4 linked regions of the Arabidopsis thaliana genome follow. The protein of the gene in region 3 interacts with the protein of the main gene of each other region in a pairwise test. Each region holds a gene or a part of one and is shown on either strand. Other genes may lie near its edges. The genes, in order: CB5-B, CB5-C, CER1 and CB5-D.

Evidence for each region.
Region 1: the proteins of CER1 (region 3) and CB5-B interact in a two-hybrid assay, tested with the Arabidopsis thaliana proteins (one study listed by BioGRID).
Region 2: the proteins of CER1 (region 3) and CB5-C interact in a two-hybrid assay, tested with the Arabidopsis thaliana proteins (one study listed by BioGRID).
Region 4: the proteins of CER1 (region 3) and CB5-D interact in a two-hybrid assay, tested with the Arabidopsis thaliana proteins (one study listed by BioGRID).

What each region holds. Positions count from the first base shown.
Region 1 is NC_003071.7:13,874,179-13,882,928, reverse strand, and holds CB5-B (cytochrome B5), read left to right. Parts: upstream 1-4,218; 5' UTR 4,219-4,481; coding exon 4,482-4,568; intron 4,569-4,570; exon of another isoform or gene 4,571-5,172; coding exon of another isoform or gene 5,173-5,259; intron 5,260-5,516; coding exon 5,517-5,583; intron 5,584-5,665; coding exon 5,666-5,916; 3' UTR 5,917-7,117; downstream 7,118-8,750. Other genes in the region: AT2G32730 (26S proteasome regulatory complex, non-ATPase subcomplex, Rpn2/Psmd1 subunit), read right to left, coding at 1-118, 228-688, 1,021-1,189, 1,266-1,374, 1,683-1,788, 2,017-2,086, 2,595-2,740; AT2G32710 (Cyclin-dependent kinase inhibitor family protein), read right to left, coding at 7,579-7,648, 7,763-7,984. UniProt on the Arabidopsis thaliana protein: Membrane bound hemoprotein which function as an electron carrier for several membrane bound oxygenases, including fatty acid desaturases.
Region 2 is NC_003071.7:19,145,887-19,153,292, forward strand, and holds CB5-C (cytochrome B5), read left to right. Parts: upstream 1-5,594; 5' UTR 5,595-5,920; coding exon 5,921-5,998; intron 5,999-6,102; coding exon 6,103-6,169; intron 6,170-6,254; coding exon 6,255-6,508; 3' UTR 6,509-6,853; downstream 6,854-7,406. Other genes in the region: AT2G46630 (serine/arginine repetitive matrix protein), read left to right, coding at 1-827; AT2G46640 (NAD-dependent protein deacetylase HST1-like protein), read left to right, coding at 2,906-2,911, 3,007-3,052, 3,301-3,623, 4,061-4,390, 4,634-4,795. UniProt on the Arabidopsis thaliana protein: Membrane bound hemoprotein which function as an electron carrier for several membrane bound oxygenases, including fatty acid desaturases.
Region 3 is NC_003070.9:414,642-424,284, forward strand, and holds CER1 (Fatty acid hydroxylase superfamily), read left to right. Parts: upstream 1-4,106; 5' UTR 4,107-4,176; coding exon 4,177-4,236; exon of another isoform or gene 4,237-4,282; coding exon of another isoform or gene 4,283-4,345; coding exon 4,346-4,569; intron 4,570-4,655; coding exon 4,656-4,888; exon of another isoform or gene 4,889-5,008; coding exon of another isoform or gene 5,009-5,033; coding exon 5,034-5,253; exon of another isoform or gene 5,254-5,852; coding exon of another isoform or gene 5,853-5,872; coding exon 5,873-6,248; intron 6,249-6,342; coding exon 6,343-6,450; intron 6,451-6,549; coding exon 6,550-6,750; intron 6,751-6,884; coding exon 6,885-6,992; intron 6,993-7,078; coding exon 7,079-7,267; intron 7,268-7,339; coding exon 7,340-7,513; 3' UTR 7,514-7,617; downstream 7,618-9,643. Other genes in the region: AT1G02190 (Fatty acid hydroxylase superfamily), read left to right, coding at 513-1,029, 1,101-1,320, 1,404-1,794, 2,090-2,197, 2,321-2,521, 2,607-2,879, 2,982-3,155. UniProt on the Arabidopsis thaliana protein: Aldehyde decarbonylase involved in the conversion of aldehydes to alkanes. Core component of a very-long-chain alkane synthesis complex. Involved in epicuticular wax biosynthesis and pollen fertility.
Region 4 is NC_003076.8:19,786,676-19,793,837, reverse strand, and holds CB5-D (cytochrome B5), read left to right. Parts: upstream 1-3,465; 5' UTR 3,466-3,657; coding exon 3,658-3,744; exon of another isoform or gene 3,745-4,179; coding exon 4,180-4,246; intron 4,247-4,320; coding exon 4,321-4,589; 3' UTR 4,590-4,771; downstream 4,772-7,162. Other genes in the region: ICK6 (inhibitor/interactor with cyclin-dependent kinase), read left to right, coding at 105-131, 888-1,082, 1,161-1,230; AT5G48800 (Phototropic-responsive NPH3 family protein), read right to left, coding at 4,835-5,380, 5,451-6,575, 6,658-6,724, 6,851-6,957. UniProt on the Arabidopsis thaliana protein: Membrane bound hemoprotein which function as an electron carrier for several membrane bound oxygenases, including fatty acid desaturases.

The sequences.
Region 1 (8,750 bases), on a different chromosome or scaffold from region 3:
AGTGTCCACTGTAGTTCCAGCATGCATAATGGCATTAGCATATATTGTAGCACTGTGGCATACACTGTTCCGCATCTCTACAGACTGTTTGATTGTCTTCAGTATCAGCAGGTCCGATCTACAGAAAGACAAAATTATCAATGGAGCAAATGATTACTTCCTGGAATAAACGATTTTTAGAAGAAAAAATATCCCTTGAAGATATCAAAACTGCAACAGTAACTTACTTGTTGTGGCTGTAAAGAAACTGCAGTGTCAGCTGAATAGATGTCTCTCCAGATAAAATTCCCTTAATCTTTGTTAACCTCTCAGCATATGTAGCATCAACTGGATCCGTCTCATGCACAATTGTCTGAGCTGGAGTTTCATCTGCCATCTGAACATCTCCCGAAGGGTTCTCATTAGGAGCAATAGTTGTTTCAACAGCCTGAGTTGCTTCTACAGCACGTGTTTTGGGAGCTGGAAGGCGATCTCTAACACTCAAGAGAAAGGCCTGGTGCTCGTTCTCTACAAGATCAAATGCAATTTGCAATGCCAATAAAGCATCATCCTTGTTCTCTGAGCGAAGAAGCTTCTCCAATATGCTTGCAACACCTTGCGGTTCATCCAAAAACATGAGGCATTGACAAATGCTCAAATAATCAGGAGAGGGCAGCTTCTGGTAGACTTTTACAAGTAAACTAAGCACCTGAAAGAGTAGACAAGTATGTCATCACCTTTTTTAAATAAAGACTAAACTAAACAGCCTAGACTAAAAGACCTAGAAAAGGGAGATTTTTTTAATTCAGGCCTTGACACATCTCAGATAGGTATCACGAAAACTGAAACAGGACTTTTGGCTACAGCTTAGGACATAGAGGATGCTAGCATACATGTTTGCAGGCATGGTAATGGAAGATGCAACATAGAAACTAAATGGTCACATTATCTTCCAGATGAGGCAAAACTATACAGTTCTAATCAGTCGATAGAATTAGAACACCTTTCTACTTAACTATTGTCTAAGAACATCAGTCTCACCTCATGTCTGTACTCTCTGCGGTTGACAAAGGAATGAGAAACATTGATGCAATATGATAAAGTTCCCTGAACATTATCGCTCTTAATGATAGCTTCTTCCAACTTATCCAATCTCCGGCATTCTATCGCAATGCCCATGGCTTGTTGATACTTCCCATCACTGATGCATCTGCAGAAGGAAAACCATGTAAGAAGAATTGAAGCACTATGAAAACAAGAGCATTAAATGTATAAGCATTGCATACTTTCCAAGCATTCTTTCAACAATCGCCTCTAGCCTGGGATCAATGTCCACCATCTCATTTGACTCAACTGCCTTTGATCTGAGACTGGCATATTCGTCTATTGCTTTGGCTGAAATTTTAAAAGAAGCATCTGATGAGTATACATTCATCCAGCATTTATTAAAACTCAAATAGTCAACTTATCTGTCTTTTTCTAGTATTATACTACTTAAAGGCAGAACAATATCTGGATGTACAAGCTTCAAGTCTACTTTTAAGATAATAAGTCGTGCAGGCTATATAGGCTTTTCTTGCCTTGAGAGTTGAGACAAGTTGATTTGGTAAGCAATTTGCATTAAACAGTTACCCTAGCTAGAGTCTACAGACAGAGAACAGCATGAAGAGAGTAAAAACATCAACAAACTTCTCAATCCTCACCCAGAAGCGTATGAACATAATCAGAATCCTCTGAAACATCAAATAAGGGACCGGCTCCTAGGGCATAAGACAGCGAATCATTAAGCTCGCCCAAGTAATAGAAAACCTGCGATAAAACAACCACGATCATCAAGAAACCCATATCTTGTAAAACAAACATATAACGTGATTAGAAAAAGGCTACGTCCCAAAATTCTACCACTATCCACCAGCTCTTAAGGAGAAAAATAACCATAATGTATTCAGAGCAACAATTAAACATTCCTCCACTAACATATAGCAAATATTATCCGCAACTAGACAAAACTTAAGTTTAACAATCGTGAAATCGCACCTTAGAGACCAGCAAAGCAGCAAGCTGTCTTTGATGCAGATCGAATTCTTCATCTTCATATAAACTCTCACTGTAAAAAAAAAAATTCTCTCGAGTCAAGCTGTCAAGTAGTGCAAATCATTAAAGAGAGATTATCATAAAACCCTAAGCATTGCGCCAGCACAGCCTCTACAACTGGAATCTATACCACTAGAATGTACGATGATAAACCAAAACGAATCCAAGCCTTTACATTACATGAGTAAAAGAACATAATCATGTCCAGGAAGAAGTTAGATACAATTACTCATTCATAATCTATAAAGATCACTACAGAACTTGCTAAAGCTAGTCATGTAAAATAAAAAACTTTACTTTTCTTATCCTACCCATTGAATCTGCATCGCCACAAACTATCAATCCCTCACTCAAAATTTTGAACTTTAATACCCAAATCGAGAAGACCTACACACAACCACAGCTCAAACAATCCAAATCCCACAATCTTCTCTAGAATATCCCGAATAAAAAAACAGATCAAGTGAGAGAACAAAACCCTAAATCTCAAACCGGAAAAAAAGGGTTTAAAAGAGAATTACATGATGGGGACACTAGTGGAGATCTCAGGCCAGAATTGGTCAACCAAATTGTTGAGGTTAGAGAGCGCATGAAGCTTCAAAACAGGATGAGGCTCGTTGAGCATTGCTAGTAATCCTCCAGCGGAACTAACCATGGGTGTCGCCATTGATGGAGAACACTAAATCGAAATCGAAATAAACCCTAAGAGAAAGCTAATCAGATGACGAAAGATTCGAACTTTCGATGAGACTCGTCTTGAATCTCTCTACTGGATTTGAAGAAGAGTGTTTTCCTTATTTATTTTAGTTTATAGGACGAAAGTAAAAATAAAAGGAGATTTGGGAGAAGATAGTAAGTCAGGGACTTGGATGCAAACTACGAATATTTAGAGACTTACCCAACAAGTCAGGATATTAAAAACTGCCCCGAATGTATAGCTTTATTATGATTTTAGTCTCAAGTTTTGTGTTATTGAGTTATGGATCCAATATATTTTGAAGATTTACAAAAACTCCTTATTGCTTTTACAAAATTGGTTGGTCATACAATTTTAAGTTTTAGGAGCTTTTAGGATACCCTAATTGCTAAATTATCATCATATCATATCAATAAAATGTGTTGCAATTCAGAACATAATACAAAGCTTTATAGAGATATGCAAGGCATCATAGAGAAATTAATAAACTTACAGTCGGTTAATCAAATTTTATAAACAAAATTATCATAAATCGATTCAGCTCATTACACGAAATGGTAAGCGTAAACTATGATGATGGTGTGGTCGACCATTAGCTCGATTATGTAACAAAGTCATCTAGTTATTTAGCTTATAAATCATTTCAAGATGTAATTCAAAAACATATGCATTCAATTTTTTTTTTAGTTATCTGTTTATCGTATCAGAAGTTCAATGAAAATAGTGTATGAACAAACAAACACGATTTTAGTTATTTATATTTATTGTTCATTTTAAAATTATATATATATTAGTTTTTTTTAATGTGTAAATTGTATTTAATATTTTCAAAGCAACAATTTTTAGTATTGAAAAAGATTTGGTGGTCCTAAAAGTATAACTTTTTCTTTTAATAACATTATTTGGTACTAAAAAACATAAAGAAAATGATGGTTCTAATCTTTTGGTTAACCTGCTTGTTTTTCTCTAGAGAACATGGCTAATGTATTTTTTTCATTGTCGATGGTTCAAATTTGAAACTTCTCAGACCTCTTTTCGTTTACAAGGTCAGAAATTCACCGGTCAATCTATTGATTTTGAATAATATGTACATTTTATATAAGCTTTAGAAAGAAAAAGATTTGTGTCCCTAATAAATAAGGTCAGTTGGTATGAAGCAGCGGCAATTTATTTTTCTTATGTAGTTGTATCTACTAATATAAAACTACATAAATATTACTTATGAGAAAAGAATTCATATGTACCATAATAAAATTTATTGCACATCATTCACCTACCGATCTTGAATGAAAAAGGCAGAATTAGAGCGCACAACCGCAACATTTGCACTGCCTACCTACCTACCCCATCCACTCAACCGGAAATAACAACTACTACCAAACCACTTAACCCATCGGTTCAACATTGGCACATATGTTTTCAAAATCGTACAGATGAATACCATAAGGCCAAAACAGTAGAGCAGCAATTAGGTACAGACTATGTGAGAACAAACTCAAAATCAATTTTCATTAAACCGGTTTTCAAAGCTTCCAAAACTCACCAACCGATTACTTTGAGAACGAACCAAATTAAACCGGAATTTAACTGATTCGTCAAATGGTCTTTAACTCAACAACTCTCTCTCACACTCTTGTATAAAGTTTTGAGCTTTAAGTCTCAGAGTCAGGTTTTGGTGGGTTAATTCTGGTAGACAAGAATCAAACAAACAATGGGAGACGAAGCAAAGATCTTCACTCTTTCAGAAGTTTCAGAGCATAATCAAGCTCATGACTGTTGGATTGTCATCAATGGAAAGGTTTCATTCTTCTTTCTCCTTATTCTCACCTCTGAAATTAGAGATCTCGTGCTTCAAAGTTTCCCCTTTTGGTGTTTGCATGAGATTAAGCTTTTGAAGTCTCAGATTTCTAAGTCTAAAATTATCAGATCAAATCTTTAGATGGGTAGAGAGAGTAGAAAATGGTGTAGTTATTAAGCTTATGCTGAAGATTTAGCTCTTTTGATCTATTTATCAGCTGAAAATTTTCTAATTTTGATTGAAGATGGAGAAATGTAGAAATAGTTCTTATTGTCTTTAGAGTTTGTTTGATCGACATCAACCTTTCTTGGGATGGACTACTGACACTTGTCGATTAGTTGTTTGCCCTGAAGATCGATCGTTTTTGTATTGTGATTATTAACTTGTGAAGGAATCTGTAGATACATCCTTGAGCCTCCCTTCATAGTGAACTTGATTTTTGTTTTCTTCATTGATTGGTTTGTGAAATCAGTAGATTATCACAAGAAAGTAGGAAACATTAAATGTTTTGGTCTGTTGTTCCATCAGTAGTTTATGTTTCTTATTAATATTGTCACTTAAGTTCATTTTTTTTGGGAGTTTACCTCTGTGCAACAAGTTTGCTATGTACACAGAACAATCCTTTTTATCAAGTTCAGAAGATCCCAAATGTATCTCTGGACTTGGTTGTTGGTACAGTAATTTGTTTCAAGTATTCATCTTTCTATTCCTATTGTTTGATTTTTAGAGTTATATGCACCATATCTTGTTTAGTCCAAAGAAAGCGATAACCTAAGAACTTTTCTTTTTGTTGCTCCATTGTTTCTTACATTTTAATCATAAGCCTCAGAAGTGGATCTTCCCATGTTTTAAACTTCTTGATTTGACAAGAAATCTTCAAAGTTCAGAAGTTCTGTAATTGGGTTTCATTTGCCTCTCCTAACTTCACACATTTGCAAAAAAATGCAGGTGTACAATGTGACCAAGTTTCTTGAAGACCATCCAGGTGGGGACGATGTTCTCTTGTCTTCAACAGGTCTGTATAAACACAACTATCACCATGCTCCCGGCTTAGTGGAGATCAATCCATCGGTTTTTGATTCTTATTCTCTTTTCAGGTAAGGATGCAACGGATGATTTTGAGGACGTGGGTCACAGCGAGAGTGCAAGAGAAATGATGGAGCAGTACTACGTAGGAGAGATTGATCCAACAACAATACCAAAGAAAGTCAAATACACACCTCCTAAACAGCCTCACTACAATCAAGACAAGACCTCTGAATTCATAATCAAGCTCCTCCAGTTCCTCGTACCCCTTGCCATTCTTGGTTTAGCAGTCGGAATCCGTATCTACACCAAATCAGGGTAGGCTTCTTTTTTTTCTGAGCATTACTTCCTTATATCTTATATATAGAGAGAAAGATTCAAGTCTTTTGAAAAGACAAATCTGAAAGTCTCTCCCTTTGTTATTGTCTCTTCCCATATTTTGCTGTTTGAATGTATTTTGGATAATTTCTTATCTATTGTGGTGTAACTGCATATAAACAACAGTCTTGTTGGTGTTTTTGCCTTATGCAACTAATGAACATCTCATCTATATTTCAGATTCTGAAACCGAAGTTATGACTAATAAGTGATCTGTTTTGAAAGTCTGGTTTAGTATTGTTTGAGATCTGTAGAAGAAAAGTAACCAAGGAACTATCAAAACAAGGCCATGATCTTACTAATTGAATGCTTAAGAGAACACTTAATTAACTTTGAGAAAAGGAGAAACAAAAACAACAGATTACGAATTCCAAAGAGAAAGAGACGTTTGTTTTGGCAGTTACTTGATAGAGTGTGTGGCAGTTAGTGACTTGAGCTCACAAAAACATATCCACACGAAGAATCCAAAAACTCTTCTGCAACTGTAGGACCCTCTTTTTGTACCTCTTTACCGCTTTGGCCGCAAGAAGTCGCAACCGCAGACACAAAGTTCGATACTTGTAACTTCGAGAGCAATAAATTTCATTTAAGTAAAGATTGGAATGGATTCTGTGGCAAGTTGACAACTATGGACTGTTTCATTCAAAACGTTGTCGTGTGTAGACTCAAATCAATACAATCAGAAAACGAATCTTATGACAAGCAAAGACGCGACGAAGTTTCGATGATTGATCAAAAGACGATCACCATAATGATGATGATGATGATGATATGTAGTGAGTGGGTACGAATTACATATTTAAGATAATATAGTGGGCACAAATCTCACAGAGTGGAAAGTACAATGGACTCACACAAGAGCAAGAGAAAGAGAAAGAGAATCTTTTTCTAACACTTTTGATTTTAGTGAGAAGACAGAGACAAAACAAAGACCACTATGAGACACTATCCATATCCATAACGAACAGCTTCTCTGTCTCTCTATTATCAGTATACAATTGTGTATATATAGACATGTATTACCTACCTGTCATTGTGATGTTATATGTCTGAAGAACACAACACATGGACCATAATGATGATGATGATAAGAACAAGAACTTAAGATGAAGAGAACAAAAAAGAGAAGGATAAGTCTTTATTGAAAAGAGTTTGAGATCAGTACATGTATACACATAAAAGGATAGATTTTTTAAAATGGTTACAGGACAAAGAGTTTTAAGAGAATGCAGAGTCCCCCTGTACCGGAATTCATAAAAGAAAACACTGACCCTTAAACCGAAAGAACTCTAAACCCTAAACGCTAAACCCTAAACAGACTTTGGGTTACTTCTAAAAACCTTCTCTTATGGCTTTAGTACTACTACTAAGGTGATCTGTATAGGCTTAAAAAGGATTGGTATCAAGTTCTGTTACACAAACCCTTTTCAGCCACTTATGTTACAGACACCAATTTAAAAACACTACATGGGTTTTTTCTCCTAAGCTCTTTACATGTTGAAAAAGTTAAGAAAACGGATGATGGTAATAAGATCAAACCGATAATTAGCAGGAAAATGTTAATATATTCTGTATTAACTATTAACCCCCCATTTTTTTGTTGTTTCTAATCATCTACCTTCGTCCATTCAAACCGTCCTGGTAGTGGTTGTTCGTTCACAGGATCAAAGTTGTACCTGAAGAAAGAGTTGACAGAAACCATTAGAGACACAAGACCAAAAGAGAAGAACAGAACAAACTGGAAACTCATAACCAAAAGAACAGAACAGATGAAACGAGGAAACACATACTTCTCAATGAATTGCTTCTGTTGTTCTTCTTCAGCACCCGAGAAAAACTCGTCCATTTCAGGTGTAGTTGGTCGGCGACGATGGCTGCGTGACAAACTGTCTTCTCTCTGGTTGCTTTCACTTACACAAATGTTAAGCTTTGTAGACGATCCCGGGGTTGTCATGATTTCAGGCCTTCTTATCAAACTGCATGGTGTGGATTCCCTTGTGGTCCTGTTGAAGCTGAGAGTAAGTAATATGTTACTTTCATACAATGCTCTCAAGGAAAAAGCACATAACCGTGTTTCCTTAATTAGCAGCAAAAGCAAGCAAACTTTATTGCATATAGATAACTAAAACTAAGCAAGTCATGTTTAACTGAAAAAAGGACAAGGAGAAACTCCTTGTTGATTTGTGGTTCAAAGTTCACAAAGCATAAAACCAAAGAAGAAACTTCCAATGAAGATTACTTCAGCAATGCTTGAAAAGTTAATGACTCATACAATGTTCAACAAGATCACGACTTTAGACTGAAATCATAACATCAAAAAACAACCAAACAGCAAGAAAAATTAAAAGACAGAGAAACTAGAACTTAAGATGTTACAGAGACACATCATATACTTTGCAGAATCCCAAAAACGAACCAAACTTTAAAGAGTTACTTACAGAGACATTTCAAACACAAATCCAACATTCTTTACATGAAAGCAGATAAAAAGTCTGAAGAAAAAACAATAGTCACTATCACCTTCTTCAAAGTAATTGAAGAAAAAATAAAAACTTTCTCAAGAAAAAAGAAACACATTTTTGATTAATTATATATATTTTCTTTCCCGGAAACAGAGAGAAGAGTCTGGTGTTGTCAGATAAAGAAAAGATGGCATCATATCATACACATGGTAAAAATATCATTAAATTTCAAAATCGAAAACGCCAGTTTCAATTTTAACCAAATACAAGACAAAAAATTGATCCTTTTTTCAAATTAACAACGGAAATTTTCAAA
Region 2 (7,406 bases), on a different chromosome or scaffold from region 3:
CATACACGTCCCCACCATCTCCCAAGGAAGTTCAAGAAGCCTTACCACCGCGAAAACCGAACTCACCACCGAGTCCAGCTCATTCAAGTCGGTCTACAACATCTGAGTCAGTGAAAACTCGGTCTCCATCAGAGTCAGAGAATCATCGGAAAGCACCATCACCGAGAGTACTATCACCTTACTCTCTCCCAGCTTCTCTGTTACATTCCGAACGTGAAACCACTCAGAAAAACATTCTCACTGCCGAGAAAACAAGCCAAACCCACGAAACAAATCATCATAACCAGAATCATAACCATGACTATAACCAGAACCATAACTATAACCAAAACCATAGCTATAACCAAAACCAAAACCATCAAGGCAACAACCCCAAGAAGATGCATCGTCAACCATCTTCGTCCGATTCTGAGAACATAATGAGCACACGAGTCATCACCATTGCAGGTGAAAACAAAGGTGCAGTAATGGAGATCCTACGATCTCCTCAAGGCAACAAAACCGGTGGTTCAGGAACACATTCCTCTAGGGTTTCACACGGCACCGGAGAGAAAGGACGGAGACTTCAAAGCAGCAGCAGTAGCAGCAGCGACGAAGGAGAAGGTAAGAAGAAAACGACGAAGAACGTCCCTAACAAAGGCAATAGTAACCTCCCAATGAAAGCTTTTATGAATAGTAACGTTCAGATGATAAACAACTCCATTGTCTACAACTCGACGGCATCTCATCATGATCCCGGCGTTCATCTTAAAATCTCCCGGAAACCTGGCTCCGACAATGGTTTTCATGTCAGTGATTACGGTAATAATGGCGGATACACCAACTGATGAAAGAAGAAAAAAAACTAAACTAAAATAAAAAAAAAGGTTTTGGATTTAAAATTGCAATAAATTCGATTTAATTAAAATAAATGAAAAAAAATAAAGAAAATATGAGTGGGGTTAATGGTTTCTGATTCTTCTCTAAAGCTTTTGGAACCCTCTCACTTATATGGAGGCTTTGATTCGTTTACTTAAAACGAACTTCTTTTTTTAATTACTTTTGTAAACGCGCGCATTGGTTCTCTCTGACGTAATTAATGAGAAATCAGTTATTGCTTTAATAATAATCATGAAACCCATATTATTGTGAAGGCCCGATGTATACTACATAAGCCCATATTCATACCTATGGGCCTATATAAACAATTTGTATTTACCGTAATATATTTACTTTTATCAATTGGGGTAACGATTTGGATAATTGAATCCAAAAGATTATTGTGCCACAAGCGACAAGTTTATGTGAAGAAAAGAGAACCAAACCTTGTATATTATTAATCAAATGACTTTCAAATCAACTCAAATGTCTAATTGGTTCCTGTGTCCGTTATGAGAAAAGCTCATGCTTCAATAAACCCTCTAATAAGATCACATTATTTATTTATACAAAAATATCCCAACCAATGTATATGCTTTTATATTTTTAATTTTTTTTGTAATGTAGAATCTATTCTACACAAATCGTTTTAGTGATTGTAACAGTATCTGAAAAAGAAGTGGGGAACTAAAGTGAGCATTTTGAATGCATAAAATAGAAATTGGAGGAGTTGAAAAGCCAGAGGGGTCTTTTATAAGCTGATTTATTCTTTATTAGTTCTTGAGTCGATTTTTGTGAATATTTAAAATTCACCAGGAGCAAATAAAAACATCACTACCTTATAAAATCATAATACAATACTTTCGAAAACTTATGCAATTGAATAAATTGGCCATATAATTAGGCAAAAGATAACAAGAAAAAATGTCCAAATCCCAAAAATTCGAGAACAAGAAGCAACTGACAAAGAGAAAGGAGAGTGAAGTGTCCAAATCCCAACAGTATGTGTGTGGTTTTGTGTGCTCTTCAAAAAGCTTTAGAGGGTACTTTGCATGTGCATATGCATATGCATTATGCATATAGTCCTCCTAATCTTTAATATTGTATCTTTGAGGATTTAATAGGTATCTGAGACCTTGCAAGTTGCAACTGAAGAATTTGAGTAAAGTTGGTCACAGATTATAAATCCGTAAATTATTACATTTTACAATTAATCCATTAGTAACGGATTGGCCATGTGATTTGGAATTTACAACTTAATAATGTTGTCAATAATTTAAGTATAGCTTGTTTCTGTCAAGAGAAATGGCAATGGCATAGCTTTTTACAATTTTGAAGATAATTTTACGTCAACGTTCTAAAACGTTGATGATTATCACTCTGAAAATTTGACGCTAGGGTTTGAATACATTATTGTTGATAGTGAAGAATGATCCGCGATGACATTCCGCGACATTTATATTATAGTGACCACAGTGACCGAATTGCTTCCACTATATTTGGACCCTTCTTGAGGGAATCCAAAGCTGGTGAATATGACATTTTCAAATAAGATATTAAAATTGTACGTCCATTTTTAAAAATTGATTGAAACCAAAACTTTCGCTTTAATGCAGCGAATTTTTCCTTTGATGTCTAATCAAATGATACAAACACTGAAAGCAACAGAAGTCTACCAACAAGATTACAAGAAATGAACCACGGAAAGATCAAGGAGGCACTGAAAATTAGTATTAAAATTTTCTTGTCAAACTTTGATAATTTATAAGTAATCGGGTCAAAAAGCAATTTCTTAATAATTAAGGGTGGGACAACGAATAGTGTGACGACCAGATTAGCAAGTGACATGTGGCACCTACTTATTGGCCTTGCCTCCCAAAAGTCAGACCGATCCAACCCACTCTTTGTAATTAACACGTGTCAGAAGCTGAAGGACTCTCCTATATGATTTATTTAATGTCTTAATAGATTTCTCATTTCACACTATCCTTTTTTGCTTGAGAACTTTCTTCACTCTTTCAACTGCTAAGAAGAAATAGAGAAAACTATGACGGTACGTAAATTTTGTTGTTAATTATTTTGCTTTAATCCTTTTTTCATATAGTTCGTAATTATAAATCTATAATTGTTTTCCGGGATTTTTCGAAGATCTTTAACTGGGTGCAGAAAAAGCTGCACCAAAATGTCATCAAAGGTTAGTTTTTTTTTTTATAGATAATCAATATCAGCTTTATTTTATAAAAAAATAACAAATTTGCTTTATTTTCCCTTTGTTTATTAGAATATCGTAAGCTTCACTAAAATAGTAGTTTACTTTTTGTAGTAGTATCATATAGGATCATGTGGTTCCCTGTTTAATAAATAGTTTTATATTAACGTATACCACGTTTTCGCTAAAGCATAAATTTTGTCCAACCTATATTTATTTTCATATGGTGAAAGAAATAGATGGTGTGAGGAAAAACGAGAAGAAGAAGAGGAATGAAGGAATAAGTGAGATTGAGAAGAACACGAAAGCTATATTGGATCAAGTTGGTTTAGTGGATGCTCTTGATAATTGGTTCGATGGAGTTCTCACCATCGGCACATTTGGCTTTGACACCTTGAACTTCAAAGAAGAAGATGAAATGGATGATGATGAATGCGGGAGTGGGGATCTCGACTACGTCGTAATTGATGGCAGCATCATCAAGAACGTCGACCAAGAGTCGGATCCTCTTATCTCCGTTGAAAATAAGTTTTATGATCATCATGAAGATGTCGGGGTACGTATTCTAATCAGTTCTATTGAGTACATTTTTATGATCCTCGGGTTGATTTACCAATAGAGAAGATTATATAGACATATGACATGCATATGCTTCAATTGTTCGTGTGCGTTTACGTTGATTTGATTAGTATATTCAAATGAATCCAAAATTTTAAAATCTTTAAACTAGTTTAATTGTTATTGTAGAAATAAGTTAACTAAAATGGAAGGATTATACGTTCACTAATCTACAAAAATTTGGGTTTTCTTTCAAAATATGACTTTAAAGACATATAAATGCAGAAATTGCATTTGAGTCAATCGAGATCGTCATTTTTTTTTCTGTCGACAATTAAGGCCATTATACGCAAAGAAATAAGTACATAAAATAAGTACATAAAATTATATCTTCTTGACTCTTGATATTGAATTTCTTGAGATCTTTCGTATTAGAATCTGTACGTACAGGCCGATACTGATCACTTTGGCTCGATCAAAACCGCTGAAACGCCAGCTGTCACGGCGGCAGCCGAGGCCGAGATAGAGCCACAGAAGAAGAGGACAACACTTGCGGAGCTTTTCATGGAGGACCACGACAAAGGTTATGACACGTGGCATTGCAAGAAACCCAATAACCCTAATCTTGACGGTGAGGAGGTTAAGTACTATAAACAAAACGGTTCAAAACTAAGCAAGAGGTTCTCGTTTGTTAAGAAGAAGCTGGTCATGTCAAAGTCCAAAGAGGAAGAAAACGACTTACGTCCAATCAAGAAAATGCGTCAGGTATTTAAATTTGTTTTAGTCAATTCCGTAACTATGAAACATTGATGATGATGGATATATGAACATGTTACATGTGCCTCTATAGCTCAAGGGAAACAATGTCACGTCAAGATCTAGATAATTATTCGTGCATGTTACAATTACATCACTTTTGTTGCTTCATAAGTGTACTCATATGTGAGTAAATATTCATTCGATGTCAACAAGTATAGCATCATTATATATGTGTATATATTACTGTAGATGATAAAGAGGATGTTGAAGAAGAAGATCCATCCAGATGTCGATGCAACTAAGGCTTTAAAGAAGGACGTTCCATACAAGCCAACTCGGAACTGTGAAGCTCTCGAGTCACATTATCTTCTTAAAATTCAAGGTTTGTATTTCTTAATTATTTTGGTTTAGGGGTTCGATATGATTTATTTCTTTCATTTGCTCGTATATATATGCTTTGTGGACAGATTGCGTGGCCTAGAAGTCTAAGAACGACGACATCGTACAAGAGCAATCTCTGGATCTATTGTTCTACTCCCTATAATATATGTGATTTTTTTGTTCTTATTTCAGAATGTGTTGGTATTGTTATGACTGTTGAGATGTATTGCTTTCTTCTTACAAACATTACTAAGTTGTTAGTATTTGTTCCTGTTATGCATATTGTATTTTATTACTATGTCATATGTTTTCTTATTTATACGTATATCAATGCATCGTTCTAAAATCGTGGATTGTCGTGAATCTGTGATAGTATTCCATCATGTCTGCTATAGCTTGGTCAGTTTTGAAGAAATTTCAAACCTAAAGTCATAAACTGATAAAGGACTAAATTATCCTACTCAAAACAGAAAGCCCTTTTGTGCGTTATTGGGCCTAATCAGAAAAGTGATTTTGAAAAAGGGCCTAATCAGAAAAGTGATTTTGAGGCTTTTTAAAAGTTTAAAGTAAACAAAAGAAAATTGAGGCTTGACTTTTCTTTCTTTTTTTGACTTGTTTTCTTTTTTCCTTTTTCTTATAAGAGAAAACTAAAACGTGAAAGAGCTTCACCAACCTGAGGTCGCTGACCACTTGGAGGCATTCTCAGCTACCAATCCATTAACTTACAAACTCCATATTCTTCACGTTTTACTATGGTAGGTACCTTTTTTTAACCTTGTTCGTAATAACAATTTTATACGAAAAGAATAGTATTAAACTTCAACAAAAACAACTATGTATATTAACTGGTCAGATATACATTGCTTTGTTCCCTTACATCTTCAAAGAGCTAAGATTAAACTATTTACCCCAAATAAGACTGTAATTTCATCAAAATCTAGTAATAATAATATTCAACAGCTTACAATATAAACATAACGCGTGTGGTCTCCATAAGCTACGCACTGTCTTTTCATCGGTTCGTAGAAACTAGAAACTCTTCCCCTCACGATCTTGCTTTCTTTATTTTGCTTCAACCCTAGTTTATTTGAAGTCTCTATATAAAGTTCTCTGTTTCAAGTTACTTTCTCAGCACGAGCAACCAAAAGTAATCATATGGCGAATCTAATTTCGTTTCACGATGTGGCTAAACATAAGTGCAAGAACGATTGTTGGATTCTCATCCATGGAAAGGTCCATATTTCTACTTTCTTTAAATCACGTAAACAAATTTATAGATTATAAATGCTCTGTTTTTTTAGCTTTATACTTGTTTCTAAACACATGTTTATCCACAGGTCTATGACATCAGCACTTTCATGGACGAACATCCCGGAGGTGACAATGTTCTCCTCGCCGTCACCGGTACGTACGAGTACGAGTTGGTTTATTCCGGTTTAGTTTGAATTTATCGGTTTGTAATTTTGTGAGTTTTTATGAAAATTTAAAGGGAAAGACGCGTCGATCGATTTCGAAGATGTGAACCATAGCAAAGATGCCAAGGAGCTAATGAAGAAATACTGTATCGGTGACGTTGACCAGTCAACGGTTCCGGTGACGCAACAGTATATTCCGCCGTGGGAGAAGGAATCTACGGCGGCGGAAACAACTAAAGAAGAATCTGGAAAGAAGCTGCTTATCTACTTAATTCCTCTCTTGATACTCGGCGTTGCTTTCGCTCTCAGATTCTACAACAACAAGTAGACCAAATTATGATGAACAGATTGATAAGAGTTTCTTACTGTTCTTGGTTTTCGTTTGTTGGTAATAACGGGCTTCTTATGTGAAGATTTGGGCCATTTGGCCCATCGCTCAGAATTGGACTATAATGTCTTATTTATTTTATGTTAATGGGCCGTATCAGTAGGCCCTTTGTTGATATATGCCAATCCCAATTTCTTCTAGCATGAGCTTTGTGTTATTTACTTGATTTTGATAAAACAACCAACTTATGCAGTAGATTCCATTTGACGAAAAAAAATAAAAATAAAAATGCAGTAGATTCCATTAAATTCGTACTTAATAATAAAAATGGGTGAGGGCATACTTACAAAGAAGGAATGTGTGTCAGTGTGTGTCAAAAATATGACACAGACACAGAATTATTTTTAGCAAAAACGTTCCACATAATTTCAACCTTTATACTGTCGGTTATTTTTTGCCACTTTAAAGACACAGAATTCAATGTGTCATAAAAAAGGACACAAAGAAATGAAGAATGTTGGTTTTTAATTTACTAATTCGAGAGGGGATTTATTAATCAAATTTCGAAATGTAATGTTAGTATTTCTATATTATATTACTAGAAGACGATTAAAAATATGAGAATATTTTTCTTAAGTAAAGTTTTTTTTTCTTTTTTAAACCGTGTAATGTTAATTGTTTGGTAAAACAAACCAAACATTCGTGTTTCTATGCAACTTATTAAACAAGTGATTGTTATTATATATAATAAAAAAAAACGTTTCCGGAGTGATAGTAGACTTGCAAAGATCGTTCACCAGAATCTTGGAAACTAAATTTTATAGTTTAATATCCTGTTGCGTTTTTTTTTTTTTTTTTAATTTATCCTGTTGCAGTCTTGATCTGTGATAGAATTCAT
Region 3 (9,643 bases):
GAATAAATGAAAAATGTGTTGCATTATTTCTATTATTGAGAAGAAAAAAACCAGGCATTTTGGTTATTGGGCTTTGATTTGATGTTGGGCTCTCAACCATTGAAATTGAATGAAGAAAGAAGGAAAGTACGTGACTTGAATTTCATTTACTTCATTAAATGGGCGGCGTTGGGGCCGGTGGAGGTGGGCCAATGACATTGATGTGTAAACAGAGGTAAAGCCGAATTTTGGCTAAGGCGAATCAATGCCCATTGGCTCCTCTCCTTACATATTTGAAGTTTGAGGTTTCCTTCCTTTTCTTAAATTAAATGTTGCTGTAACATTTCTACTATTGTAAACCGGGGCTCCACCACCATGTGCTTCTTCAACACTGTATCATCAGAGCCCACATGGTCATGCCTCTATATAATACTTTGTATTATTATTATTCTTATGTCACATTATAAACAAGTACCTCCAAATTGCACTTCCTTCAAACTTATTCGACAGTAGACTAGCTCAAGTACCTTTGGATGGCGTCGAGGCCCGGAGCTCTTACGGAGTGGCCATGGAGTCCCCTTGGTAGCTTCAAGTACCTCTTGGTGGCCCCGTTGGTGATGGCGAGCATGCACTCGTACGTGACGGCTGTGGATGAGGAGAAAGACCTCAGCAGACTTATGATAGTCGTGTTGATGCTGTGGAGAATAGTTCACAGCCAGATATGGATCAGCGTGTCTCGCCAGAGGACGGCTAAGGGAACGAACAAGATCGTGGACAAGCCCATTGAGTTTGAGCAAGTGGACCGAGAGCGCACTTGGGACGACCAAGTCATCTTCAACACTCTCCTCATGTATCTCGCAAACATCAAGCTCCCAGGCGCCTCCCACCTTCCCCCATGGAGGCTAGACGGGGCCATCCTCATGGCTCTACTTCACGCTGGTCCCGTCGAGTTTCTCTACTACTGGTTTCACAGAGCTCTCCACCACCATTTCCTCTACTCTCGCTACCATTCTCACCACCACTCCTCCATTGTCACCGAGCCCATCACGTGTACGTACCTTTATCCACCATTTGCTTCTATTCTATATACATTCATTCATATCTTTAATCAAACTTGGCAGCTGTGGTGCACCCCTTCGCCGAGCACATCGCCTACACACTACTCTTTGCCATACCTATGGTAACGGCGTCCCTGTGTGGGATCCTCTCCATCGTTTCCATCATGGGATACATTACTTACATTGACTTCATGAACAACATGGGACATTGCAACTTCGAGCTTTTCCCTAAGCGTCTCTTCCACCTCTTCCCTCCCCTCAAGTTCCTCTGTTACACCCCCTCGTACGTCGTTTGTAAAAACACTACTATTTATTTGGATTTGAATATATGCATGCATTTATAACATGGCATCAAATATGTTGAAGGTTTCACTCGCTCCACCACACGCAGTTCCGGACCAACTACTCTCTGTTCATGCCAATATACGACTTCATCTACGGGACGACTGATAATTTGACCGACTCACTATACGAGAGGTCGTTGGAGATAGAGGAAGAATCACCCGACGTCATCCACCTCACTCACCTCACCACACACAACTCCATCTACCAAATGCGCCTTGGTTTCCCGTCCCTCTCCTCTTGCCCCTTGTGGTCTCGACCCCCATGGTACCTCACATGCTTCATGTGGCCCTTCACTCTCCTCTGCTCATTTGCCCTCACTTCAGCTATCCCTTTGCGCACCTTTGTCTTTGAGCGAAACCGTCTCCGTGACCTCACCGTTCACTCTCACCTCCTTCCCAAGTTTTCCTTTCACGTAAGCATTTTACACGCATGCATATGCACTTTCCCTCTCTCTCGCTCTCTTGACACAAACGGGTTTACTTATTATGTTGTACTTCACACCACTATTTTCCAAACTTTCACACACAAAAAAAACATTGATTCTCACTTAACTTGTACGTACTACGTAGGAAGGACATAACCTTTTATACAAAAAGAAAATTAAAACAACCTAAAAATGAACAATGAACATTTTCTTGTGGGTATACCTTTTGTAAGTTGCATCTAAAGTTTATTAATAATTTTGCCTCATAAACATGCGGCGGTAGTATAAATCACAGCGCCACCATGAGTCCATCAACACTATCATAGAGGAAGCTATCCTTGAAGCAGATGAAAAGGGTGTGAAAGTAATGAGTCTTGGCCTGATGAACAATGTAAGTTTATTTACTTCAAATCCCCCTAAATATATATGAATCACTATTGGATAAGTACTGTAACTAATTACACACGCTGGCAAAAGAAAAAAGTAACTAATCAACACACAATTAATTAATGAGAGGGAGGAACTAAACGGGTCTGGAGAAATGTACGTGCAAAAGTATCCGAAGTTGAAGATAAGACTAGTGGACGGGAGCAGCATGGCAGCTACGGTGGTTATCAACAATATTCCAAAGGAAGCCACGGAAATTGTCTTTAGAGGAAATCTCACAAAGGTGGCTTCGGCTGTTGTCTTTGCTCTGTGCCAAAAGGGCGTCAAGGTTTGTGAATATATGAGGGAATTGGAATATATATACTCAGCTTCTCATATCAAACAAAAAATAATGTAGTAATGTGTATATATAGGTGGTCGTGTTACGCGAGGAGGAACACAGCAAACTCATCAAATCTGGGGTTGACAAGAATCTGGTACTGTCTACAAGCAATAGTTATTACTCCCCAAAGGTGTGGTTGGTGGGGGATGGAATAGAGAACGAAGAGCAGATGAAAGCAAAAGAAGGAACCCTCTTTGTTCCCTTTTCTCACTTTCCGCCCAACAAACTCCGCAAGGACTGTTTCTACCAGTCCACTCCAGCTATGCGTGTTCCCAAGTCTGCCCAAAACATCGACTCCTGTGAGGTACATCTTTGAATTCTTATAGATATATCTGTAACTTTTATATTATATAAGCTGATAGATGTGTTCATCTATAATGAATGAATGGTTGTTATATATATATAGAACTGGCTGGGGAGGAGGGTGATGAGTGCATGGAAAATAGGAGGTATAGTGCATGCACTTGAGGGTTGGGAGGAGCATGACTGCGGCAACACTTGCAACGTCCTCCGTCTCCACGCCATATGGGAAGCTGCTCTTCGCCATGATTTCCAACCTCTCCCACCATCTCCTCTATGAGCTTTTTTCATATTCATACATCTATGTCCCCTTTCTTGATTATATCTACTTCCCTTCCATCATTGTTTGCTGTTTACTATGTTTTTCTATCGACAATATATAAGTACCCTTGTTACCCTTGGTGCCACGTGCTTCATATATGTTAGAAAGGGCAAAAAAATTCGTCGTATGATATGCTTAGTTAAATTTTATAAAACTCAATAAAAATCTTCAGAAACAGTGCTATGATCATTACATCTTAACTAAGTGATATATATCTGCGTGCCTATTTAACAAAATAAACAAAAAAACAAAACAAAATATATTTGGGTGCATCATCAAATCAAAGTAGTTGCAAAAACTGGACGAGGTTTTTACTTAAATGGTCCTTACCCCGCATGGTCCACTTGCTACCTAATTAAGGATTGGTAGGGTGCGTATACGTATATAAATTGTGGCGGTGGGAGATGGAGTTACTAAAAACGAAACGTACAAGTATTATTCATAGCTCTCGTATAAGGGGTTAGTCCTTAGATCTAGATATTTTCACTTTTCTTTCATTTATGTCGGAGCAACAGACACTAGCTGGCGCTTCAACGTGCATGATCTTGATTGGCTAGTAAATTCCAAGCATCAATACCTAACACATGCCCAACTTGGTTCATTAGTATTCTTTCATTGGTAAAATACCCTTACCTTTCAATAATATCCAGAAATAAATATATGAAGCCATCCATCAACCGGTGCATTTCCTCAAGGCATGGATATGATATCAGAACATCGATGAAGGTGGGAGGGGGTAATTAGCTGAGTGTCATAAATGAGGATCCATGTGGAGATCATCGAATGGTAGTAGTACATGTTTGGTCTTAGCTGGCCCCACCACAAGGAATTGGACTGGTGGGAAGATAGGGGTGGTTACGTCATTCCACATATCTACCAATTAAGGAGTTTAATATAAACCTTGCTATATAATGTACCTTGGCTCACAAGAGTTGAAGAGACACAGTGACGACACAAACATATTACATTCGACGGTATAATGGCCACAAAACCAGGAGTCCTCACCGATTGGCCTTGGACACCCCTCGGAAGTTTCAAGGTGCACTCTGTTTTCTTGTCCTTTAAATTTAAAAAAACGCGTGCTTATGATCGAATCCCGTTACGTTACTGATATATATGTTTTTCTTGACATTGAAACAATACAAAAGTACATCGTAATAGCACCATGGGCTGTCCATAGCACATACAGGTTTGTGACAGATGATCCAGAGAAGAGGGATCTCGGGTACTTCCTTGTGTTCCCATTCTTGCTCTTCAGAATTCTGCACAACCAGGTTTGGATCTCTCTGTCCCGTTACTATACGTCCTCGGGAAAGAGACGCATCGTCGACAAGGGAATCGACTTCAATCAGGTCGACAGGGAGACCAACTGGTGCGCTTTTCTAAATTTTTAACTACCTGCGTGCCTCGTGAGTATATGTAATCAACGTAACTAATGAAATCCTGATATATGCGCAGGGATGACCAAATATTGTTCAACGGAGTGCTGTTCTATATAGGCATCAACCTATTGCCGGAGGCCAAACAACTTCCCTGGTGGAGAACTGACGGAGTGTTGATGGCAGCGCTTATTCACACCGGACCGGTGGAGTTCCTCTATTATTGGCTCCACAAAGCTCTCCACCATCACTTTCTTTATTCCCGCTACCATTCCCACCACCACTCCTCTATCGTCACTGAGCCCATCACTTGTAACTATTGTTTCTTACCTTGATTTTTACGCTGCCTATATTTCCGTTTTTCTTTTTATAATTATTATACGTAAAATATACATCGTTCACGTCCTAACTAGTAGCTTTTATCTGTATATAATGGGATTTGATCAAATGTATGCAGCGGTGATACATCCGTTTGCGGAGCACATAGCATACTTCATCCTCTTCGCGATACCACTACTTACCACGTTGCTAACAAAAACGGCGTCAATAATTTCGTTCGCCGGATACATAATCTACATAGACTTCATGAACAACATGGGACACTGCAACTTCGAGCTAATCCCTAAGCGCCTTTTCCACCTCTTTCCTCCCCTCAAGTTCCTCTGTTACACCCCCTCGTAAGTCCTTAATTAACAACTCCTCTTCTGTTTCATACACTACCAATTTGGCGTAGTAAAAGCATTTACAAGAAACCATTCTTGATGATCTGATACAAATACCTAGTTAGATCATATTAATTAATCCTCTTATGGTCATCATAAAATCTAAGCAAATGATAAATCATACTAATACAGGGGATATATGCTATTATAATAGAATTCCATACACGTACTCCATTCCTGTATAAAATAAAGGTGACGTGATACAGTTGTATGCTTAATATGATCGTCAACTACTGAATCCCTGGACCACAACAGAAAAAAAAACAATTATTTAATATATCTTACATGGTTCAACTTATCGGCACATAATCCAATTTCCCACAACTTTACGCATTGATAGCATCTTTAACCAAACATCCTTTGAGAACTATTTTAAATATCAAATTCATTAGTCGATATGTAGCAGGTGGTCCCTCTAAACGCTCAAGTTATATTAAACCTTCTGGATTCATATTTACTTTTAAATATTTGTGACTTTTTTTCCTTCGGTATTAATTTAGCGCAATGTGAAAGCAAAATTTAATAGTTAAAATACATTAAAGTTTGGATAATAAATGGAGCATGAGAATTGCAGATACCACTCGCTGCACCACACGCAGTTCCGGACCAACTACTCCCTCTTCATGCCCTTGTATGACTACATCTACGGCACAATGGATGAAAGCACGGATACGTTGTACGAGAAAACTCTAGAAAGAGGAGATGATATAGTGGACGTGGTGCACTTAACTCACCTGACGACGCCAGAATCCATATACCATTTGCGCATTGGCTTGGCCTCATTTGCCTCCTACCCCTTCGCTTATAGATGGTTCATGCGCCTTTTGTGGCCTTTCACCTCTCTCTCCATGATATTCACGCTCTTCTACGCCCGCCTCTTTGTCGCTGAGAGAAACTCCTTCAACAAGCTCAACTTGCAGTCTTGGGTGATACCTAGATATAATCTACAGGTCCTCATCATCATCATCATCATCATCATATATATAGGCTGGTTAACTTGCTGATGCATATATATTAATGGTGATATATATATGATGCATGCAGTACTTGTTAAAATGGAGGAAAGAAGCGATCAATAACATGATTGAGAAAGCGATACTGGAGGCAGATAAGAAAGGAGTGAAGGTGCTTAGTCTGGGTCTCATGAACCAAGTAAAGAAACTATCTCTGACTGTTTTGGTTTTATATTGGGTAGATGCCGTACGTACTACGTAGTGTATGTTAAAGCTTTAATTTGATGAACTGAAACAGGGGGAGGAGCTTAACAGGAACGGAGAGGTGTATATCCACAACCATCCAGATATGAAAGTGAGACTGGTCGACGGCAGTAGATTAGCAGCAGCTGTTGTGATCAACAGTGTACCCAAAGCAACTACAAGCGTCGTGATGACAGGCAATCTCACTAAGGTTGCCTACACCATCGCCTCTGCTCTCTGCCAGAGAGGCGTTCAGGTCCTTTGTTTTCCTTTTGCTCCTATGTTGTGATATCAAATTGATGATCTCTAGGAGAAAAATAAAATCCAAGCTTTATCTACATGTATTTATGCTCATGACTCGTAACATTTTCATGTGAATGTCATCCGCAGGTCTCCACTCTGCGCCTAGACGAGTATGAGAAAATAAGATCATGCGTTCCACAAGAATGCAGAGACCATTTGGTCTATTTAACCTCTGAAGCACTCTCATCAAACAAGGTAATTCAGTATACAAAAGAAGCACAATTAATCAAAGAATCAGAAGGAAAATATTCAAAGAGCTTATATAAAGAAAACTAATGAAGGGATTTTGGGTGAAGGTATGGCTGGTGGGAGAAGGAACAACAAGAGAAGAGCAGGAAAAAGCCACAAAAGGGACATTGTTTATACCATTCTCACAGTTCCCCCTCAAGCAGTTACGTAGAGATTGTATCTATCATACCACACCAGCATTGATAGTTCCAAAATCTCTGGTGAATGTCCACTCCTGTGAGGTAAGCATTCAAAGCTACCCAATCCAACTAATTTATTAGAAGAGGTCCTTATTATAAAAAAAACATCTGCAGAACTGGTTACCGAGAAAGGCGATGAGTGCAACTAGAGTGGCCGGCATATTGCACGCCTTAGAAGGATGGGAAATGCATGAGTGTGGCACATCCCTTCTTCTCTCGGATTTGGACCAAGTATGGGAAGCCTGTCTCAGCCACGGCTTCCAGCCTCTCCTCCTTCCACATCATTAAAACTCCAACCTTGGAAGATTTTAGGAGAATGAGAGCGACACGCTCTGTGCTTCTTTTCCTTATGATCCAGCTCTTCCACGCACAAATGAACTATGAAACATATATAAAGCGCACACATATATTTATGCATATCAAGCTTTTGGTGATTATGGTATTGATAGAGTCAAATTAAGCTCGGTGACTATGGTATTAATAAGAGTACTATTTCCTTTTCTCTTTGTGAACTAAGAAACATATATATATAAAGCAAACATGTTCCAGAATATCTAAGTTTTTCTTCTCCCACTCCTAGACTTTATAGTTCTACAAAATTTAAGTAGCATAGAACATAGCATTTGGATCGCTTGATGCTATTACTAGGACAATTCAAATGGTCTCTCATCACTTATAGGAGAAACACCTATCTTATTCAAATCATTTGGTGGTCAATAACCGTTTTGAATACATTGATTGGTGTTAGTTAGTAGTTAGTTCTCATACACAGTGGCTAGAGCCGGGCAAAACGGATACCACCACCGTTTTTTAAATTATTTATTGGTTTTCTTAAATAAACTAACAAATAATTAAATTAGTGATAATGTACTATTTAAAAAATAATTATGTAAATAAAAATATGAAGTTACGAATAAATTCATGAAATTTAAAAATTTAACACTTATCAAAAACAAAACCTAATAGAAATATAAAAATATAATTTTAAAAACAATAAAAACAAGTGTTAAAATTAAAAAAATGTGTAAACCGTATTGAACCTAAGACACCTTTTTGGGGTTTGGATGTTATGTCCAATTAAGTTACACAAAATTTAAAAAATTAACATTTATCAAAAACGAAACTTTATAATTTTTAATAGTAATATAAAAATAGAATTTTAAAAACATTTTTTAATAAATAAAAACAAGTGTTAAAAATTTAAATTATGAGTATTGAACCTAGGACAACTCTTTGTGAAATCGTTAATGACCACGGTTAAATGGCAGGATCAAAAATCCGATTAGATTTCACAACGTCATATTCATTTAGTATTTATAAAACCTTCTAAAAAAAAATTAAGAAAAGAGTTGAAAAACTTTTAAGAAAAAATAAAATAAAAATAAATGCTAAATATACATAAAGATGTGAAAAACATGTTGGACTTGTGAAATCGCTAATGGCCACGGTTAAATGGCGGGATCCAAAATCCGGTGAGATTTCACAACGTCATATTAATTTAGTGTTTGTAAATACTTTTTAAAAAATAAAAAATAAAGAGTTGAAAACCTTTTAAGAAAATAAAATAAAAATTAAATTATAAATATACATGAAGATGAGAAAATATTTTGGATTTGTGGAATCGCTAATGACCACGGTTAAATGGCGGGATCCAAAATCCGGTTAGATTTCACAACATCATATTAATTTAACATTTATAAAACCTTTTAAAATAAAATAAAATAAAAAAGTTGGAAACCTTTTAAGAAAATAAATGCTACATATACATGAAGATATGAAAAACATGTTGGACTTGTGGAATCGCTAATGACCACAGTTAAATGGCGGGATCCAAAATCCGGTTAGATTTCACAACGTCATATTAATTTAGTATTTATAAAACCTTTTAAAAATAAAAAATAAAAAGATAACAAAAATCGAAAGAGTTGAATACCTTTTAAGAAAATAAAATAAAAAATAAATGCTAAATATATATGAAAATGTGAAAAAACATGTTGGATTTGTGGAATCGCTAATGACCACGGCTGAATGGCGGGATCCAAAATCCGATTAGATTTCACAACGTCATATTAATTTAATATTTATAAAACCTTTTTTAAAAAAAAAAAATTGAAAGAGTTGAAAACCTTTTAAGAAAAAAAATAAAAAAAATAAATGCTAAATATATATGAAGATGTGAAAAACATGTTGGATTTATGGAATCGCTAATGACCACGGTTCAATGGCGGGATCCAAAATCCGGTTAGATTTCACAACGTCATATTAATTTAGTATTTGTAAAACCTTTTGAAAATAAAATAAAAAAAAAAAGACAAAAAAAATAAAGAATTAAAAACCTTTTAAGAAAATAAAATAAAAAATAAATGCTAAATATACATGAAGATGTGAAAAACATGTTGGATTTGTGGAATTGCTAAT
Region 4 (7,162 bases), on a different chromosome or scaffold from region 3:
AGTTTTGAATCTTAGTTAGGTTTCTCTGAAACTTTTGTTGTTTGCTTCAAATCAATTTTTTTTTTTTTGGGGGATGAAAATAGTTTAGTACAAGAGAAAAATAGGTTTTTTATGTTTCCCTTATTGGTTTGGTTTTTGTTTATGAATTGACTCTCTTGTGATGTACTGAATTTTGTTATTACTACTTCTCCGTATAAGTCTCTTTTGGTGTTAGATTTACATTATATCTGATTTATTGCTGTATGTCCCATGTGTACTTCATTGCAGAGATTATCAATGAATGTGTCAAAGCTATTTTCGTTTTATATATGTATTTCATTATTTGTTACAAATTTGGTGAAACTCTGATCTGTTTTTGTGTATTTTAATTTGTTTAAGAACATGTTGATTCTCCTTGTTATTAGGCTAATGGCATAAGAAGTATTTGTACATTGGGTATACAATATTGGGATTTGGTTATTGGGGGTTTACTTAAACACATGGTTTTCGTTTTTACAAAAGTGGGTTGTTGTATAAAGGTCAGAAACTTTTAATATGTAAGATTATATGAGAATTGGGACTTTCCTCATAAGTGTAATGCAAGTACTGTGGTGTCATGTTCATGGGACCTAGTGGTTTTTGCATACTTGGGGAATACTTTTGTAGGATCCTCTGTTTTTTGGGGTAACCGTCCTGCTGCTAGTTGACAATGTGGTGATTGCCTTCTCTTTGTTATTTATTATCTTATGGGACCATATTACTTAGAAAGTCTCTAGCTTTTGTTGTTTACTTAAACCAAGCCTCTTTTTTATTCTGGATGTTTGGTTTTGGTTTGATTCTTGATTTGGTTAAGTGTCTTTGTGGTGATAATGTTATTGAAGTTATTTTATCTGTGTTTTTTTCTGCAGCACAAGGGAGAGCACGCCTTGTAACTTTGTTGAGGATATGGAGATCATGGTTACACCAGGGTCTAGCACGAGGTCGATGTGCAGAGCAACCAAAGAGTACACAAGGGAACAAGATAACGTGATCCCGACCACTAGTGAAATGGAGGAGTTCTTTGCATATGCAGAGCAGCAGCAACAGAGGCTATTCATGGAGAAGTAAGCTTATTCTTTATTTTATTTTTGTGTCATTACGAAGAGGGTGAACAACACTCATGTGTTTTCAATAATCTTCAGGTACAACTTCGACATTGTGAATGATATCCCCCTCAGCGGACGTTACGAATGGGTGCAAGTCAAACCATGAAGTTCAAAAGGAAACAGCTCCAAAAGACATGGTGTGAAGTTAGAGAATGTGATGGAGTTAACAGACTAACCAAACATCAGAAATCGTGTAATCTTAAGTAATAATGTGGTTAGAGAACAAGTTTGAGAGTAGCTTAGGGACCTTAAAACCTCACACCATTTGTACTACTAATCTTCTTCAGATGCTTAGTGAAATTTTCTCATCTGTTTCTTTCAAGTGTTTGTTTTTCTATCTATCTCTCATGTTTATTCAAAGCTATATGTAATGATGATGATTGAGAGGGATGTGTGTGAACATGTTTAAGCTTGGCATATAGTGAAAAAAATGATTCAGATGCAGAAGAAAGAGACCCAATTGAGAGGTTCACGTGTGAATTTTGGTAGGTGTAAAAATCTGAATCATATCCTTTTTCTTTCAACTATACAAGATTGGTCCCTTTTCTTCTCTTACCATAATTATGACGCACGTGAATGTGTGTGTAAATACTTTGACGTTTACATTGAAATACTGTAATGTAAGTTCAGAGTTAAAAGTACAAACACAAAGGTGAATTTTGTACTAATTAGTAAAGAGATAAGAGTGTTTTGAATCTTGAATATCAAATTATTATTAACAAGAAACTGACAAAAAGATGAGACAGTGTTCATTGAGAAGATCTCTGTTGTTTTATCTTTTTTTTTACATTTCTTGGAAATTGGCAAAACCAGTGTGATGAAACTGTGAAATCTTATCTCGAACCCAATCATTGTTCTATGTTTTTCTTTAATCTCTAAAAGTGAAAAAGTGAATGCATGAAACGTTCAGATACATTCATTATATTATACATTTATACATATGGACATGGTGTACGTATGTACACGGGTGCTTGTTTGATCACGGGCTCACTGACTATAAAAATCATGTTTTTTGGGACATATAGATTCGCTTACATCAACTGTGTGACCAATGGGGTATCTGAATTCAGCTTGTTCGATGTTTTGTTTGACTCTTTTAAACTATTTGGTAGTAAAAAGCCAAAAAGGAAGAGCACTGATTACGAAAGCCTTTTTGTCTTTTTGTTTCTTCTTCTCTAGCTCTCTTTCGTTCTCCTTTTGGGTTAGTCCTTCAAAATAAATGTCTTTAACTTGTCATGTATAGTTTCTTTCTCTCGTTGAACACCAACCATAGGCCTTGCAATGTGAGTCAAAACATGCATTGAAAAAAGAAGTGAATTTCAACATTAAATGCTCTCGTTTAACATGCCTATGGTTCCATTAAGCAAAGTACACACTCTATATATGTCGAAAGAACTATACAGTCGGTGTTTTAGCCCTATAGTTAGATACATTCGAACTGATTACAGAAATATCAAATATCCAGTTCTAAGATCGGATTAAGGCAAATACATTTAAACTACTTCTAGCGAATGAGGTTCACATAGAAAAACTTTTTAAAATGAATCACTAAACAAGATTCATTTTCTTTCTAAATAGTGTAAAGACGAGTGATGCATGCAACTGCTCTCCTTTCCGTTGGTCCCTTGTCAAAATATACGACCGTGAATAATTCTTCCCATCATATTTATCTGTCGGAGAGTTCCAACCTCAAAACATTCTCCTTCTCTTATCAATTCTTTCTAAAATCATAAACCAACAAACTGGGCCTATGATCAATTATTCATATTCAATTTAGCCTATAACTAAAACCACACTGCTTTCGTTACACTGGCCTTCCGACAAGTCTCTTTGACTGTTTTTATCTTAAGCGCCATCAAGTTTTAAAGAAGACAACCCCATATCTTTCCTCCCATGAATCATCGTGTCCATATTGCTATAGTTCATGAAAAAACTAAATACTATCGACAACTGAAGAAAAGATCCGGATCTTGTGGACCGAGTGAATGGTTGGGCCCAATTAGAATGGTCTACCCTAACATCTAGCCGTCTACACGATTGATCATACGTCTAAGAGGGCGAAACCACCAAACGTTTGGATTTTATCTAAATTGATGTACATAAAGCTAACATGATTTTAGTATAAACATTATAAGCATCATGGAAATCAATAAGCTAACATGATTTTAGTAGAAACATTATCAGCTAACATGAATTACTAAAAACATTTATTTTATTTTAAGGAAAAACATACAATACTAAGATTTTTTATAACATTTTTTCTTTGTAACATTATAAATTGTTTTAGTTTCTACATTAATTAAATATATAAAATAAATTCATTTAAATAATATAAGAAAACGGAATCTTTGATTAACTGCTGATTATTGGCCACTGATTAATTTCCGACCCCATCAATAGATGAGATCAGACATACACAACTTAAGTAGACCAAAAAAGCGGTTGGTGTAAGATCCCAAACTCACAGATTCCCAAATAATAGTAATACTCTTCCTCTTCTCAACTCTCACCAGTCACCAGCAGATCATCGGAGATGGGCGGAGACGGAAAAGTTTTCACCTTGTCCGAGGTTTCTCAGCACAGTAGCGCCAAGGATTGTTGGATCGTCATCGACGGCAAGGTCCTACATCTCCGATCCCAGTTTCTCATTCGATTTTCCGTTTTCCCTTAGATTTTGCATCTTATCTTCGTGAGATCCGAAATTCTTGAGTTGTGTTGACTTGGATTTATAAATCTAGAGTTATGTAGTAACAAGTTTGGGGATAGATCTGATCTGATTTGCTAGATTAATGTTACTTTTCTAAGTCTAAATCACAGAGAAATTGCTAAAAACTTACGTCTTTATAATTGAATGTGATAGTTGGTGCTGCTTAAGATGTCTCTGTGTGATCTTGTATCTGTAGTTAAAGCTAGTAAGGTTCATGTAGTTCATGTATGTTCTGATGTATGAACTTTTGATAACCCACTTAATCTAGGTCTCTGATTGTGTGGAATTAGGGACTTATATGACAAAGTTTACATTTTTTGTGTGTTTCATTTTGATGGTTATATATAGGTTTATGATGTGACAAAGTTCTTGGATGATCATCCTGGTGGTGATGAGGTTATCTTGACTTCTACAGGTAACATATAGAGATCACTTTCTCTGTTTGTTAGTTCATGTTTATGTTAACAAGAATGTGTTGTTGGTATTCAGGGAAAGATGCGACCGATGATTTCGAGGATGTGGGACATAGTTCGACTGCGAAAGCCATGCTAGATGAGTACTATGTGGGTGATATTGACACAGCTACTGTGCCGGTTAAAGCTAAGTTTGTGCCTCCTACGTCGACGAAAGCCGTGGCTACTCAGGATAAGAGCTCGGATTTTGTTATTAAGCTCCTTCAGTTCCTTGTTCCACTTCTAATCTTAGGCTTGGCTTTCGGCATTCGGTACTACACTAAGACCAAGGCTCCTTCTTCTTGAAAGATTGAATTGTGGCCTAAGTGAATTGCTTGTGTACGACGTGGTTAAACTCTGTCTCTACCTCTGTTTGTCTTGTAAGACATCATTATATTCTCTATTCCAATCAACTGATAGACCTTTGATTTTTAAGCCATCTACCTTTGTTGTCTTATATCAATCAAATCCATTTACAATATCACTCACACACCAGTCTCAAGTCTCACTTAAAAAGCAGCAACAGGTAAGAGAAAATGATAAACACTGAGCTAATCTGTGCTTGCGCAAGTTCTCTCCATCAGTACCTTTGAATCTGTTCTGAAAGACTGCTTTGATGGAGAGCTTGATCCTCTTGAAGAGCTATGCCCAAAGAAGCTAAGTTTCCCCATTTTCTTTGAGAAACTGCTCATGAATTTGCGCGAATGAGACCTCTGCATATCTCTCTTCATACATATATGTTCTTTCTCTAGGTCGTTGAGTCTCATTCTCAACCTAGCTAACTCGAGCTTCAGTTCTCGGTTTTCTCTCCTCAGAGACGCATAGTTGTCTTTGGGGGACATTGTTGCACTGAGAGCTCCGCTATTGATTCTCCATGACTGCTGTTGTTGCTGCTTTGGCTTTGGCTCTTCGTCTGAGTAAGAAGAGCACAAGGAGCTTCGAAGCTTGAGTTGCTCAAAGTAGAGAACTTGAACTATGGATTGCAGAGGAAGCCGCTCGTTTTGTGCAGCGTGTGCTCCAGCTTCTTGTGAGAGTTTCTGGAAGTCAATAAGTTTTGATAGTTTCTTCTTGTCTGAATCTGATAACCCTTGATGTGCCTAAGAGCATAAAACCTAATAAGTATCAAGTCACAACAAGAGTAAGTAAAATTTTCTTGTAGCAACATACCTTAAGATAGAGATCAATGGCGCGGTATAAACCATCGTGAAGGGTGCGAGCATGAGGCGGTAAGGCTTCTGCGATAAGCAAGAACTTAGAAAGGTCAAGGTTAGCATCGGGAGCTATCTCAGCAAGATAACTGTCTACAAGCTTTGCAACTTTAAACATGGCGGTTTGTGAAGGCGAATGTGGACTATCGCATTCAAACACAGACTCTTCATCCTCACTATCATCTCCTCCTTGCTGTGAGAAATTCACTAAGATTCTGTGAACCGTGTCAATGTCGAACAAAGTGTCTCCTGCATGACGAAAAGACGGGATCAAGAGATCGTCAAGAGTCGCCATATCGAGCTGAGAACCTAACCTCCTCTCAAGATCAAGCCTGCAGGAAACTGAAGTATCAAGAATCACTGCTCTTCTCAGTAACCCGAATAGGAAACTGATCGGAACCACGAGGTTTTCGACTGGCAAAAGCGTAACAATTGTCTCAACAATGGTTTGTTCATGTTCAGATCTCTTTGTTAGCTCTCTCTCAGCGTAACTAACCAAAGAAGCTCCTATACTTTCTGGACGTACACCACGACACTTCATTGCATTCATAACTCTCTGATACAAATCAATCCTCAGAACCGAAAGATCTTCGATCCACCAATCTCCTCCATCACCACTGCTTTTCACTTGTCTGCTCATATGAAGCCTCCCTGAGCTACTATACTCCAACCTCGAAAAGCTTGAAGCGATCTGCTCAGCGCAAGCCTTCGAGGCAATGGCATCGATACATCTACCTATGATATTCAGTTCATCTGCAAGAGGGAGAAGAATCTCGGATTGTTTCAAGACTTGAACACACATCTCAAGATTCTTGCATACGATGCTCTCAAGATACTCCTCTGTTCTTGAAGCCAAGTTATCTTTGGAGTACTCTTCCGTCATCTCGAGGTAATCAGAGACACAAAAGAGCTGTGCAACGTTCGAAGAAGTGATCTCGAAGTTAATCCCATAGCAGAATTTTGCTGCTAGTTCGAATGTCTCTGCTCCTCCTGGGAGATTAAGAAGCTCCACTTTGGAGATATCTGAATCTCTATGTTCTGCAACTATTCTTCGGATTCTTCCACTTCTAGAGACTAAAGGGAACTGAGAAATGGAGAAGCAAAGCATGTTCAGTAATGGTTTACTTGAGAAAGCAGTGATGGTTGTGTTCTAAGTATGCATATACCTTATGCAGAGCAAAGTTTCCACCGTTTACTTCTATGGTTATATCACTTGGAACATCTCGAAAGATCCTAAAAAGTTGCAAGAAAGAACATCATTAGCAAGATTGAGACAGAGCCATGTGCAGACACCAGTTTCTTGATCAGAGAAACTTAAAGTGTTTCAACTGGTAACATTACTCATGAAAGAGAACATACCATTCACTACAGCTTTGTCTGGATGATTTGGCAAGAGAGAGCTTCTGATGATGGTGAAGATGTTGATGATGCTGTAATAAAAGATGTTGATGATGATGCTTGTCCATGAAGCAGAATTATGTTCAAGAACAAGAGAAAGAAGAAGAAGATGGTTATGGCTAGGTTTTTTCTCAGGCAGTTTTCCAAAACCAGAGAGAGAGAGAGAGATGATGATGATGGAAATGGTAATAGTAGTGTTGAATGAGCATTAATCATAGTATTTGGCAAAATCCAAAGTTTTTGTCTTTGTCTTTGTTGTTGGGTCCCTTGACT